Linked DNA regions of Schizosaccharomyces pombe. Changing the gene in region 1 together with any one later gene gives a genetic interaction. Each region holds a gene or a part of one and is shown in the gene's direction. Other genes may lie near its edges.

Region 1 (4,470 bases):
AAGCGTGAAGTAAAAAATGTTTCTCAGATGGCAAGTAATACTTTAAGCACACTTAGCCAAAACACCAACCATTTTGACGAGAACCACAATTTAGTGATTGTCGGAATTGAACTTTGATTAGCATTCTTACTTATTTTTTTATTTTTAGCAAGAAAAAAAGTTAAGCTCGTCAAGATGGTAAATTTGAATATAAAAGCAATGAGATATCTTTCTGCCGAGGATTTTCGCACTCTGACAGCTGTAAGCACTTTATTTTATCTTTGGGCAGTCATATAGCTTAAATCGTTTTGATCGTACAATGTTTTGTATTTTCTTACTTATTGACACATACGATATGATGCATTCAATTAATTATATTTTGATTTCAATAAGTATTCGAACTAACAAGTTATAGGTAGAAATGGGAAGCCGTAATCATGAAGTTGTTCCAACGAATATGATTAATCAAATTGCTAAAATACGCGGTGGCTCTTGTACGAAATCATTGTCCGTTTTGTTTATGCATAAATTAATTGCAAAGGTGCCGCATATCAGCTATGAGGGCTATCGACTAACATATGCGGGATATGATTACTTGGCATTGAAGGCCTTGTCAAAGAGAGCATCCGTTTACTCTGTCGGTAATCAAATAGGCGTCGGTAAAGAATCTGATGTCTACGTCGTAGGAGACCAAAAAGGAAAGCAATATATCTTAAAAATCCACAGGCTTGGGCGTATATCTTTCCGGAGTGTAAAAAACAATAGAGATTATTTGAGAAATCGTAAAACTGGATCATGGCAGTATCTGTCTCGATTAGCTGCCACAAAAGAATTTGCTTTTATGAAGATCTTGCATGAGCATGGTTTCCCTGTACCTGCTCCAATTGATCATTCCAGGCATTGTATTATCATGGAAATGATTGATGCGTTTCCTCTTCGTGCTGTTACTGACATTCGTGATCCACCTGCTCTATATCAGACATTAATGGATATTATCGTTCGATTTGCAAGGAATGGGTTAATACATGGTGATTTCAACGAATTTAACATCATTGTTCGTGAAGATGGAACAGCTGTTGTAATTGATTTTCCGCAAATGGTATCTACTAGTCATCCTGATGCGCAATTTTATTTTGATAGAGACGTACAGTGCATTGTGCAATATTTTGAAAAAAACTATCAATACAAAGGTGATGTTCCTAATTTCGAAGACATATCGAAAATGGAAAAGGAAAATAATTTGGATATCATGATTGAGGCTTCAGGATTTAATAAGAAACAATCTAAAGAACTAGAAAAATATAGACAAGAAGAAGAAAAAAGAAAAGAAAATGGTGATGATTTATCTGATAACTATGAAGAAGAAGAAGAAGAGAAGGAATGATGGTTTTAATGAAACCATATTGCACAATTGCATGTTCAGTAAAATCATTTATTCATTTTATTAGGTATTTCTGGTGTTAGGGACTAGCATAGGGTTAATATATTCAGCTTTTTTGGTTACTGTTTTAAATTTTCATTTCAATTTGGATGTAGATAAAAGCATTTTAATTAATCTATCAAAAGATACAAGCAAACATTAATTTTCGAATATAAAATGCTCGTTAATTAATGATTACAGGACGTTTTCTGAGCGATACGTTGGTACACGTAGTAAGTTCCACTTTATATACTAAGGCAAAACGCCAAGACCAATGAAATCGGAACCAACATCTTTGGATTTTACATCCTCAAACCTAAGGAGAATGAATCGGGATCATTCTTCAAATAATACGAATAGAACAGTTTTAAACCTGCCAAAAGGTAAATTCTCACACATTCAATTTTAGTTTTCGAGATTTTGTTAACTTTTTCTAGAAATTTTGATCATTATATTTTCGTTTCTTGATCCTCGCTCTTTACTTTCTGCTCAATGCACTTGCAAATATTGGAAAAAGTTATTATCCGATGATTTAAGTTGGCGTACTGCTTTTTTTCATCACTTTGCGGGTGATCAGTCGCAAATATTTAGTCCACTAGGTAATGGAACATGGCGGCAAGAATATCTTTTACGTTCTACCATTACTAGAGCTTATGAAAAAGGGAAAGGGCAAACAGTTCAGTATGATTGTCGCGTTGGACAATTGACCAACCTTTATTACGACTTTTCTTCAGGAAGGCTTTATTCAGGAAATTGGCTTACTGGAACAATCTCCGTTTCCGACCCTACCACTGGAAAGGTTGAGAGGTCTTTATTACATGCTAGTACTGATGGCAGCTTTACGCATGGATTATCTACAATGACATTGGGGAAACAAATTTTTGGCTTTGGTTTTATGGATGGTCGCGTTGGAGTTATTTTGATGTCACGTCAAGCCGAGACTCCTCGAAAATTTCGTTATTGTCTGGATTCCCATGCTGATTCAGTTACATGCATTGATGCATTAACCGGTGATTTGCCCCCCACTGGGGAAATCGGTATGGTTACTGGATCAGATGATGGATCCGTGCATTGCTGGGATGTTAAAACAGGTGTTAGTCTTCAATCATTTCAATTCCGTTCTTCACAAATCCTTTCTTTGTGTTTCAGGCCGAAATACAAAATGCTACTCGTTGACACTTTTAATTATGAACTTAACTCATATCAATTATACTTAATACCGGGCTATGCTCGCTCCCGAAAGAATGAGCAGCCTATACTTTTATCGTCCAGAAAATGTGTGTTAACTGATGAAGAGGAACCTCCTTGTCTGATGACGGCAGATTGCTGTGCCGGTGTTGCCTTCTTGTCCAGGGGCGCACCGAAAAATTGTATTTGTCGAGTTTCATTTAAAGAATTTTTGGAGAAAAACGATAATGTCGGCGTTCAAACATCTTCAATTCCTCTCAACGGAAAACCAACCTCAATCTCCTTAGATACGAACGATCGTGTGTTGTCAAAATCAACTCCTGGTAGAGGAGCAAGACTGCTCGCTGTTGGTGATGAAAATGGTTTGGTTTATGTTGTAAACACTCGCACTGAAGATCCTAACAAGGCCATTCTTAGAACTATTACTGCATACTCAAATTTTCCTATTACCGATATTTACTTGAATGAAGTTGCAATGGTAGTAGGGTCGGCTAGCGGCTATTGCGGAGTATACGATACCGTTACTGGGAATTTTTTGAAAAAAATAGCGAGTGCCAGGAATGCTGCTAGAAGAGAACCAATTAATTGCATACTGCTTGACTCAAATCCGTTAAGTTTGAAAGGTGTGATCACCATGAGCAAGCATGTCAAATCTTGGTCTTATACAATTCCCAAACCTTTTGTTAATAAAAGGTCCAAGGTTTTACCCTTGAGACCTTCGGTGACACACGATAATCTGTCGAAGTCGTCTGACTACTCAAAAAATGAAGTCGAAAGAGAAATCATGTTAGGTTTGGACCAAATTGCTCAGGAAAGACGAGAAAAAATGGAAGCCCGGCAAAAATTTGAACAGCATTTTGGTGAGGGCTTGGTTGGTTTAAGTGAAGAAGAAATCATAGCATATGTTACCATGCTTTCACAAGAAGAGGAAGCTAAGAGAATGGTTCAGCTCTCCATGGATGTTGATAAAATAGAAGAAGATTTTAAAGAAAACGATGAACAAGCTACATCGTCATTAAATGCTTTAAGTTCAAATCATGAGCCACCGCAAGAACAAGCGAATGTTGCTGAACTGAACGAACAAGAGCAGATTGAACTAGCCATGCGATTATCACTCATGGAAATGTGATACACCTAGTAGTTTACTAAGAGGGAAAAAGTAGAAAAATATACGTTAGTTAAATTTTTGCATCTGCATATAGTCATGTCCTTCATCTATTTATTACATGCTTCATCAATCTTCCGAAGTAAAAAAAGGAGGAGGATTCAAGGGATTTTGGTGGGAATTTTTATAATTCAAAATAGAGGTTACTTTAATTTTGTTAATAAAATCTTTTAGGAATACGTATTTTCTTATATCCTACTATGCTTATTTAAGGATAATATTATTGCTTAATAAAAGCATAAAAAAATATTCTTAAGGCATACGCACCGTTGATCAGTGAATGTATAAAAAGTATCGCTTGATTGCGTTATCTGATTTTCAAAATTTCAATTATCGCAAACATCTCGTTAAATGTAAAAAAGTGTTCAGCAAAACAATGAGCGAACGTTCCTTACCTCCTCCAACACAGTGACAAGAACAACAATGGCGGGATCAGTGGATAAACCTTCTTATGAGCTTTTTTCCAAGGACACCAGAGCCTTTGTGTATGGCATGCAGACAAAGGCTGTTCAAGGAATGCTTGACTTTGATTATATGTGTGGTAGAACTGTTCCATCTGTAGCTGCTATCATATATACGTTCGGTATGTGCTTCGTTGATATAAAAATTTGAATACTAACGCGTGCTTAGGAAGTCAAAGTATCAGCAAGCTTTATTGGGGTACTAAAGAAATTCTGTTGCCTGTTTATCGTACAATTGAAGAAGTAAGTTGTCCGCA
Region 2 (6,151 bases), on another chromosome or scaffold:
AAATTTCTTCATTAAAACAAACATAATAAAAAATTAATCGCTTACTTTATTTGAAGAAAAATTACATTTTAGACAAAATAGTTTGTCCAAAATGTTTATTGGATAATAGCGTTCTCTGTCAACACATTTCACGTAATTTTCCGTCTAGTATTCAGCAAACATCTACCAAGTGCTAAGAATCAGAAAGGTTGGCTAAATGATCAGTTTATGATCGCCGACCGAGTAACATGTCAGTCTTTTGAAAAAAACCATACAGTGCATGTGATTGTCTACTTCGTTTTCGCTTTACAGATCAGATCTACATAGCATTTCGGCAGGTAAATTCGTTTAACAATTTCTGCATGTAATTCTCTTTTTTTGACGAATTGTAAGCTATAACTACTGCAATATTTTCACGTTCTCCAACGCCTCCTACAAATTAATACTAGACAATAGGACCAAAAGTGTAAATAATACATCAGTAATCATTTGATCCAAGCTTTTTTATTCGCAATATATTGATTCTTAAAAGAAAGTTCTAAAAAAGCCAGTGGATACAAAATTTAATCAAACATTTTGTAATTATGGTGAAAATTTTAAAAGAAAGCCAAAACAATTTTAAACTCAGGTTACATGATATGCCTTTCCAACATTAACTATGTGCATTATTAACATAGAGCCAAATTCTGAGGTAGTGATAAAAAACGCTTTAATGTTCGCTTGCCTCAACAATTGCGTTCAAAATAGCGGCCAATGCAAAGGCACCAGGATCCGGCAATCCTCCCTCACTATCAAGCTTATGAAGTTCTTCTTTAGCAACATAAGATGCTCTTCCAACGACAGCATCCATTTTTCTAGTTTGTTCAGAACCTTCAGTGGCAGCTTTCGCAGCAGCATCAAGTCCCTTACCCTCATTTAAAGTTTCAACAAATGGTTGAATAGCATCAATAAGCGTTCGGAATCCTTTACGGGCTCTAGTGTATTTGAAAAGAGCGTCAAGTGCATACTTGCTTGCAAACGCAAATGTATGCACGGATAATTCGGAATCGCCTGACTCATGAACTCCTTTGGCTAGCGCAGACAAATAAATCGAGTAAAGACCACCCGATGTACCTCCCATCGAATCCTCAACAATATAGGCCAAATCGTCAATACCATTTACACCATCATCCAATCGAATCGATTTATCATTAATAGCCTTTGTGATGGCCTCTCCACCATTCACAAGGGTTGTTCCACAATCACCATCTCCTGCAATCGTATCGTACCAAGTTGTCTTTGGCTCAAATTCATTGATAGCGTCAACGGCAGCTTTTAAAATTTTAGTAAACATCTTTGGGTCAGCCTTTACACCGCTGTGCTTCTCATTACGGGTATGCTCCAAAGCGGGAGCTGTTGGCACCTTGCCGTCAGCCAAAACCTCCCAGTCCTTTGCGTTATGATAAGAAACGTTCCATCCACTAGCGGTTGTTGGCAAGTCAAAATATTTGAAAATATCTGGAGTAGCCTTAGAAGCATTGACCAATGTAATTCCAAAACCAGGACCGTTCAGAGCGGTTACAAACGTACCAGACATGGTTCTTTTAGGAATGATACCTCGTTTGGCTAATTGTTCCGAAACTACTTCAGTAGCATATCCCAACTCTAAATTGGACATACCACCCATATTGTTTACTAGAAGGATAACATCGTCTTTTGAAGAAAACTCTACGAAACTATTGTCCGGGTTTTTCTCACCAAACAAAATTGAAAGCATCTCTGTAACTAGCTCGGGAATAGATGGAAGTGGTGATGATTTGAAGGTTCCAGGCTCGTTATGAATACCCATGCCAATCTCATACTCGTCTGGACCCAAGTTGGTTTCAAATTTGCGACCGGGAACGGCGCAGTGATCCAATGAAGCTGCTATGGTAGCAGCATTGTCAATCACTGATTGGGCCACTTGAGCAACTTGATGCAGATCCAATCCTAATGCTGCTGCAGATCCCGCAATTTTGTGTACTAGCACAGTGGCTCCTAAACCTCTTCTTCCTACGAGTGCACCTCTTTTTTTGCCTACAGAAACATCATCTCCTACGGCAACAAGCTCAACGTTCATTCCAGCTGCCTTGGCTCTCTCAGCTGCCAGGCCAAAATGAATAATATCGCCTGTATAATTCTTGACAATAATTAAAGTTCCCTTAGGAGAAGCAACAGCTTTGAGGGCAGAGTAAATTTGTTTAGTAGAGGGAGAAGCAAAAATGTCTCCACAAGCTACAGCGTCCAAGGCTCCATCACCAACAAAACCTGCATGTGTAGGCTCGTGCCCACTACCACCACCAGACACTAAAGTTACTTTAGGAAGATCACCAGAACCCGGGGCAGAAGCTGTCCTGTAAATCACACGATCATGTTCAATAACAGTAAGACCAGGGTTACTTCTAGCAAGTCCAAGCAAGTATGGGCGTACTATATGTCCGTCAGATACAAATTGTTTTACAGACATTTTTAATTGAAAAGAAACGTTCCCTTCCTGCTTTTTTATCTCATTCTTTACATTACTACTACCCCGCGCGCGGTGCGTTCTAAGATTTGCAAATATCCGGCATACCCGCCTAGCTGACCAATTGTTGATTACGGTTGAAGCGGCAGTTATGCGAGTGTGCAAACGCATTGTATAAACTTGTCCAATTCAGGGAAATTTATAACACATATTCTTAATATTCTGTAGATAAATTGATTTGCGCTTAAGATTCGTCACCAAATTTGTGCCGCCACTACACGTTGTCATCGACGGTTGCTTAACTTCGGTTATCTGGACCACTTGCATGAGTATATAATGCACTGTTTTACTCCACCTTATTCCCAAAGCTATTTCAAACCTTAATTTTGGTATTCCCGCCAGTACCCGCGTGCATTCAAAAAATTTCCATAAAAGCCAAGATTTGTCCCGTCTAATTCACTACTAAATGAGCGTCCCTTTACGCTTCTCGACACCATCATCATCTCCTTCAGCCTCAGATAATGAGAGCGTGCATGATGATGGTCCCACAACTGAATTAGACACTTTCAATACGACGGACGTGCCAAGAAGAGTCAATACCACTAAAGCTCGACAAATGCGTCCCAAAAATACCCTAAAAGTTGCGTTCTCTTCACCCAACCTCAAAGGCCTGGACAACACTGCCGACTCGGATTCTCAACCCTGGCTTGGTGGGTACCTTGCTGGAAGACTTGAAGATATATCCGGACAATCGCGTCGAAATTATGTTGATCCTTATTACGAAGAATTGAATGCTGGGAGGAGACCCAACAAACCGGTGTGGAGTTTGAATGGACCATTGCCACATGTTCTTGGTAACTCTGTGGTAGAAAAAATATCTCAAAAGAATCAGGAAGCTCGTTCTAGAGCAAATTCCAGGGTGAATTCCAGAGCAAATTCCAGAGCAAACTCCTCGGTCTCTTTGGCTGGTATGGATGGATCGCCCAATTGGAAACGGAAAATGAAGAGTGCTGTTTTTGGATCAAGAGTCAAGCTTAATGATGAAGAAGCTCAATTGCCGCGCAATAAATCTTCCGTTTCCATAGCGGAACAAGCCGCTTCAAGACCCAAAGTTAGTTTCTCGCTTCAAAGCAGCCGTCAACCATCCATTGCTGAGGAGCAACCCCAAACCCAGCGTAAGTCTTCCGCGATAACGGTAGAGCATGCGGAAAATGCTGAACCAGAGACCCCAAGAAATAATGTTAGTTTCTCTAGGAAACCGTCAATAGCTGAACAAGATTCATCTCAAGATATTACTATGCCTCCTAATGAAATTATTGCTGAAGAAAGTTTAGACTCGGGAAGCGATACTGAAACCCTGTATCTCAACTATTGGTGCAAGATTAGACACTTTTTTCGTGAGGGTTTTGCTGAGTTCCTGGGCACTTTGGTTTTGGTTGTGTTTGGTGTAGGCAGTAATTTGCAAGCTACCGTCACTAATGGAGCAGGTGGAAGCTTCGAATCCCTTTCTTTTGCTTGGGGATTTGGTTGCATGCTTGGCGTTTATATAGCTGGTGGAATCAGTGGTGGTCATGTCAATCCCGCTGTGACTATCTCATTAGCCATATTTCGCAAATTTCCTTGGTATAAAGTGCCAATCTACATTTTTTTCCAAATCTGGGGTGCATTCTTTGGAGGTGCACTTGCCTATGGTTACCATTGGAGTTCAATTACTGAATTTGAAGGAGGCAAAGATATTAGAACACCGGCAACAGGTGGTTGTTTGTACACCAATCCAAAACCATACGTCACTTGGAGAAACGCATTTTTCGATGAGTTTATTGGAACAGCCGTTTTGGTAGGATGTTTATTCGCCATTCTAGATGATACCAACTCTCCACCAACCCAGGGCATGACTGCTTTTATCGTTGGTTTGCTTATTGCAGCTATTGGTATGGCTCTTGGATATCAAACAAGTTTCACTCTGAATCCAGCTCGTGACTTGGGACCTCGTATGTTTGCATGGTGGATTGGCTATGGACCACATTCATTTCACCTGTATCATTGGTGGTGGACTTGGGGTGCTTGGGGCGGTACCATAGGAGGTGGTATTGCTGGAGGACTTATTTATGATTTAGTAATATTTACGGGCCCAGAGTCTCCACTTAATTATCCAGATAACGGGTTTATCGATAAAAAAGTGCATCAGATTACCGCAAAATTTGAGAAGGAAGAAGAGGTTGAAAACTTGGAAAAAACAGATTCTCCGATTGAGAATAATTGAACTCTTAATAATCTTTCATGTCACAAAATGCAGAAGATTGAAACCATTTACTTTTTATTTATTTATTCTTATTATTGTGGAGCAGCTTTTCTCTTTATACTAAGCATATATTAGCTTTTATATTATCTTTTGAGATGGACAAAGAGCTATGTCTTCCCCATTTTTTTTGTTTAATTTAAGCACTAGGGTTTTGTTGTGTTACTCTTTGTTGCTGTAAAAATTTTCAGCTTCTTAATGCTTGGGACGCCCTTATGTTGTTGCAATAGCGGCAGCTTCAATTAAAATTGATTTCATATCAAAAAAGACGATTTTCCCATTATATTGCGGTGTCTCGAATTTATTACTTCTTCCCTCAACTTACTTTGAAACCTAATTTTTGGATTCCTGTTGACTTCTTTTTTACGTTTTTGCGTATTACCGATTTTTCTTCCGCTTTGCGTAACACAATTTTCTTGCTCTCTTCTTTACTCTATGTACTGCGAAAGTAGTACGATTACCTTGTATGATTACTTATATTGCCCAACCCCCTTTTCAAGTTCAACTTTGACCGAAATTTTCTCTTCTCTTTTTTGCTATTTATTCATATATCTACCTGTAATTTTTAGTCCTTAAAACATTTGGTTTTTCAAAACAACAGATATTAAAAATGGCCGATATGACCATTACGTCATGAAATACTTGCTTCTCTATTTGGTTAACATACTTAGGATTTAGCTAAATTAGTTAAGATATCAAAAAAGTTTTAACTCATATCTAAAGATTTTTTTATTTAGAATAATTGGACGTTATGTTATGATATATAATTTTATGATTCACTTTTGTCGATTTTGTTAAAACATGTTTTGTTAATATTTAAAAGCTCAACGAGGATGAAATTTTTCTGTACATTTTAAACATAAAATACATTCTAGATATTGAATGTAATACCAATATTTTCATGAACACGCTGTTTAAAAAATATTTTTCGGTAACCCATTATTTGGTATTGTTTTCGTATAATAGTTAAATAATCAAACTTCTATAAAATTATAAAGCAAACCAACGACTGAAAGCATTTTGTAAAAAAACTTATAAAATCAGTGGGAACAGCTTGTAGATTCACTAATGTCATTATATAAACCGATTATTTTTCCAAAGGCATTATCAAAATTTATTTCGGAATGCAAGGATTCCCGTAAAACTAAAACCGTAGTTTATTAAATTTTAAAATTACTTTCATTTCCAGTATTTTTACGGTATGTATTTATAAAGTTCAAACTCACTTGGAAATTGAATGTCCGGAACCCTGCTTTTTATGTTTAATATCCGAGTTTAATATATTGGATATTCCAGTAGTCATTTTATGAATACCAAACCTCTGTTTTGGGAAGAGAAGAACTAGTATGCGATGGCAAATATTTTTTTTCTGTTTTAATTAGACGATATTG
Region 3 (4,849 bases), on another chromosome or scaffold:
ATAATGATGTTTTTCGCTTGCCATTGAGTATCACCGTGACCCACAATGTACAGATCAGTTGCGGCATCGTAATGGAGTTTATTAATGTTAGCGTTGTACTCGACAAACTTGGAGAAATGGCTGGCTGCCCAGCATAAGTAGTCATGGTATTCGTAACGAGATGGCTCTAGGGTGGACATGTTAAGGAAACCAGATAATCGTTCCTGGCCATGCGAATGTAGATAGTTTAAAAAGGTGAAGTAAGAAGTAGGATCCCTGGGCGTTGCCAAATCCTTTACAAATGAGATTTGCATGTTTGAACCAGGAATCAGCATACCCTCATGCCAGGAAAACGTGGGCAACTTTTCAAACACGCGGATTTTTTTGTTCTTTAAGGGCTCCTCCGAATGGTCATGCAAAGCAATAAGGAAAGAAAGACTAGCGGGACCAAATCCAATAATTGCTAAATCTAGAGGTTCAGTCATTTTCTTATTTCCAAAGGTTTTTTTTTAAGAAAGAGGGACGAAATGAATTAATTAGATAATTAGGGATTTTCCCTAAGCAAGCAATAATATTAGAAAACTTGGTTCCATTATCCGAAAAAACATATTTTTCCTTTTCATACTTACCAAGTTTCACGATATTCTAGAATGCGCGGCTTTTTGAAATTAATTAGGCTAGCACTACTACAAATGTTTGCAAGAAGATTGTTGGTCGATTTTAAAATATTGTTATCCAACCCACAATACGTGCGAAAATGAGCCTATATAATGGAAGTATATGAGCACATGTATTTTAAGGAGTCCATTCCCTTTCGATAACATATGTCGCGCTTTCTCCGTCATAGCGCTAAGCCCTTACGTAACTGCAGTTAAGGTGGAAATTTTGTGAAATCCGAGAAAATCTCGAAGCATAAACAACCGTTAAAAAAAAGAGGATGGTGAAATGAAAATTCTGTTTTTCTTGAGCGAAATTCTTTTTTTATGGGAAATTAAAACAAAGCATCGCCAGGTATATGTTTTCTCCTCGCGTACATACGAATAAACAAAAAATAAGAAGTGCCTAAAATTAAGCATCGTTTTGTATTCTTAGGTATAAACAGAAGGTGAAAAGTGTACTGCCAAATTTAGTATTACGGAAAACCGAGTCTTTGTTATGAAATTATTTGAAAATCGTTAAAATTACCGCATACCAAGGTCTATATTTCTCTGTCATCTTCTTTCCCTCCCCTTTTCATCCACTTTCTCTATGCTGCGGTCGCATGCTCTGTATCTCGCAAGTCCGTAGTTTTTTGAACTATGCGGAAGCAAATCTGGAGTAAAGCGAAAAGGAAGTGGTAAGTGTGTTACAACACATTTTTTTTAATAGAATGGCATCGATTAAATGAGACATCAGAAAAAATGGAAAACTCTATTCATTCGTTTTCCACTACAAAAAGTCCCCTTTACTTGGACTCAGGTTTACCGACCGGCACCCCGCGTTGATCTTCTAGACTCTCTTCATCCGATCTCTATCGATCTGATAAATATAAGGTGGTAAAGTGGGCAATATTGTAAGCGAAAATCTAGGTCACATGCACTTCATTTGATATCTCTCCATTTTAAATTTCGGAAAAGATTAGTAATGAGGCTTTTCATGATCTTTCGAAAGTATTGAAAAATTCACTTAAAAGAGCAAACTCCGATGAAAATAGTCACCCGAAAAACTTCCAGTTTGTTGATTGCCTTGTTTAGACAGGCCTTTTTGATTGCACATTATAACGAACTTTAAGGCTGCGCCAAATCACGTAACTAAACTTCGTTAAGCAAGGGTGGTGTAATATTACAAGCATCCATATTTTAGCAGGATATTCCTCTACTTGGTTCTTACTGCTACTGTGTTTTAATGAAGGATTAATACATCCTTTAGCTATTGATACATTTGTGAAACAACACCTTCGTTATAAAATATTTCCGTGTCACTAAATTTTTTGATTGAGACTTATGAAGAATTCAAATGAAGAAGATGCTTTCTCAACTCAAATTTCTCAATTAGGTCCTATGCGGCCGTCAAGTGATGCCCCCTATCACGTTTTATCACTTCCCTTTTCACATCCTTACTCTGCATTTTTGGACGCTTGGAGTTGGCTGTTTTGTGGTATCACTGGTGGAGAAGTTTCATTCTTTTTTTTTCCTGTTTCAGACGATGTGATTCCTAATACTAATCCTAAAAATTGCCAATGCTACTTATATCATTCTACAAACTCCCAACTAGAACCCTTAGAAGTTTTTCACCTACATAAACTACATTCTGCCGTTTTCACTTCGCGTCGAGATCCATCCTTTGCTGACGATTTGTTTGAATCATCTAAACCATGTTTGAATCAACTTTTATCTTATTTTTCAGACATAACCGCTTTTCGATCTATGGATGTGGTTGCCGACATAGCCTTTGTCTGTTCTCCCAATTTCCTTACTTTAAAATGGAATTCGTCTCTGTTTGATGATGATTTAGCAAGATTACTTTTTTTCATGATTAACTCAAAAATCACTAATTACGACCTCCCCTTCTCCATCCTTAATTCTCCTTGTTCCGATTTATGCTTAAACTCTTCATCTCTTGCTAATTATTTACACGGGTGTTTTTATCATAATACTCTTTCTCACCCTTATCAAGATGCTTTGAAGTTTATATATGAAATTGGCGATGATCTGGAGGATACCTTTAGATCATTTTCTTTTCTCGAGCTTCACTCTTTGGCAATAAAACTTTCCAAACTCGTTACATGTAAGAATGAGGTAGTTCCTATTATGGTATCTCATTCACCTGCTCTTTTCGTTGGTATTCTTGCAATCCTCTACAGTGGTAATGCTTATTGTCCCATTGATGTAGAAACTCGTACTGAAAGGGTCCACTTTATCAGTAAAGATGTTGATGCGTCTTTTGCTATTGTCTCTGAAGAGTTTGTTAATCGATTTCCTAATAACACAATTATATTAAAGGTTCCTGAGTATAATGAGTCAATGGAGATCAAAGTCGATGATGAGATACCCCCCTTTCCCTTTCCTGAAAGCCTTGATTCCGTTGCTTATGTTCTGTACACATCTGGTTCAACTGGAAATCCCAAGGGTGTTGCAATCTCTCATCGAGCTGCTACCAATTCTATCAAATCCCACGGGTATTTATATCCAATGTTTGGGCTTGAACGTGGTGATGCTTGGTTGCAGTTTGCCAACGTGACCTTTGATGTATCGGTTTTTGAAATTTTTGGAAATTGGAATAACGGTCTGACGTTGGTGACTTCGAAAAGGCAGAACTTGATCGGAAATTTGGAGTATTTAATATATGATTATAAAATCGCTGCTTTGGAACTAACACCCACTGTTGCTAATGTTATCTCGCTTGACGAAAATAAGGAATTATTTACAAGTGTTCGAATGCTCATAACGATCGGTGAGTTGCTCACTAATAGAATCATTGACTTTTGGGGAGAACGTTTAGTAAATGCTTATGGTCCGACAGAAGCAGCTATACATGTTACGCTTAATCCTTCCAAAGCGTTAACCACGGTTTATTTAGTTGGCGTGCCATTACAATCAGCAACAATATGCGTTGTTTCACTTCCTACTGAAGATTCTCAGCCGCATGTGTTGCATGAAGGATTTCTAGGAGAAGTATGTATTGCTGGCCCACAGTTGTCTAGTGGATACATTAATCGACCAGAGATTAATGCAAAGGCCTTTGTTGAGGTTCAATATAACGAACAAACTCTGTCAATTTACCGAACTGGCGATTTGGGCCGTATAATAAATGGGAAATTATATATATTCGGGAGGATTGCTGGTGATATGCAAATAAAAATAAGAGGTAGGCGTATTGAAATTGGAGAAATTGAATCAAAATTAGCACCCTCCGTCGATTCTTTGGCTATTGAAAAAATTGGCGACAATTTGGTTGCTTTTTATGTCGGCGACGAAATGAAATTGAGAAAGCACGCTGAATCCCACCTTGCTAGTTGGATGTGCCCAACAAAATACGTTGGCTTACCTGGGTTTCCAAGACTAGCAAGTGGAAAAACAGATCGCAAAGCATTGAAAATTCAATTTTCTGCTTCTGATAAACACTCTACTGATTTCTCTAGCTTTAATCAATCTGAACTGTTAGTCGCTAATGTGTTACATGAAATATGTGAAAAGAGATTTAACTCTGTTGTATCTATTTCTCGGTTTTCGTCGATTTTTGACTTGGGATTGGATTCTTTAGATATTGTCTATTTCGTGCGTAAGATTAGGTCCTTAGGTTTTGAGGCAAATCCATCAATTGTTTTGACTAGTAAAGTGGTTTTCAAAATAGCTGAGAGCTTAATTTTACTCAAACCCAACGAAGTTCAGTCAAAGAACAATTTTCTTAATAAATGCACACCACTTCAAAAAGGAATGCTCTATGAATCGTTCTCAAATAATGGAAATCTATATTTCAATCACACTGTTTTTAAAATTGCAGCTTCACCTGAAAAAGTTAAGCTTGCCTGGGAGAAATTACTAGATACACATACTATACTGAGTAATGGCTTTGCTTTGGACGAAAATGAGGGATTTACTCGGTTTATTCTTGAAAAGAAGCCTCCATTGTATTCGTATTCAAAGAATTGCCTAGAGTGCATTCAAAAACATTTTACTACCAAAGAATTTGATGAACAATTTCTAAACAGTGGTCCATTGGATGCTGCTGTAATTTATGACTCCAGTAACTGTTATCTCAGCATTGTCTGGCATCACGCTTTATACGATGGTTGGTCCATCGATATTATTATGCAGCAATTATTCATGCTGATTCACGATAGACGGCTTACGATCGTCCCACAATTTGAAGACTATGTTCAGGAATTAGA

What was found. Genes that interact genetically often act in the same process or in processes that back each other up.
Region 2: mutations in pof10 (region 1) and SPOM_SPAC977.17 together harm fitness less than expected from each alone (positive genetic interaction), as found in Schizosaccharomyces pombe (one large-scale study listed by BioGRID).
Region 3: mutations in pof10 (region 1) and sib1 together harm fitness less than expected from each alone (positive genetic interaction), as found in Schizosaccharomyces pombe (one large-scale study listed by BioGRID).

The regions. Positions count from the first base shown.
Region 1 is NC_003423.3:2,923,839-2,928,308, forward strand, and holds pof10 (F-box/WD repeat protein Pof10), read left to right. Parts: upstream 1-1,675; 5' UTR 1,676-1,724; coding exon 1,725-1,782; exon of another isoform or gene 1,783-1,836; coding exon 1,837-3,716; 3' UTR 3,717-3,952; downstream 3,953-4,470. Other genes in the region: rio2 (RIO family protein kinase), read left to right, coding at 175-240, 395-1,363; acl1 (ATP citrate synthase subunit 1), read left to right, coding at 4,176-4,335, 4,383-4,456. UniProt on the Schizosaccharomyces pombe protein: Probably recognizes and binds to some phosphorylated proteins and promotes their ubiquitination and degradation.
Region 2 is NC_003424.3:64,216-70,366, forward strand, and holds SPOM_SPAC977.17 (MIP superfamily protein), read left to right. Parts: upstream 1-2,464; 5' UTR 2,465-2,927; coding exon 2,928-4,724; 3' UTR 4,725-5,606; downstream 5,607-6,151. Other genes in the region: dihydroxyacetone kinase Dak2, read right to left, coding at 689-2,464.
Region 3 is NC_003424.3:866,640-871,488, reverse strand, and holds the start of sib1 (ferrichrome synthetase Sib1), read left to right. Parts: upstream 1-1,804; 5' UTR 1,805-1,961; coding exon 1,962-4,849. Other genes in the region: sib2 (ornithine N5 monooxygenase), read right to left, coding at 1-464. UniProt on the Schizosaccharomyces pombe protein: Involved in intracellular and extracellular ferrichrome siderophore biosynthesis.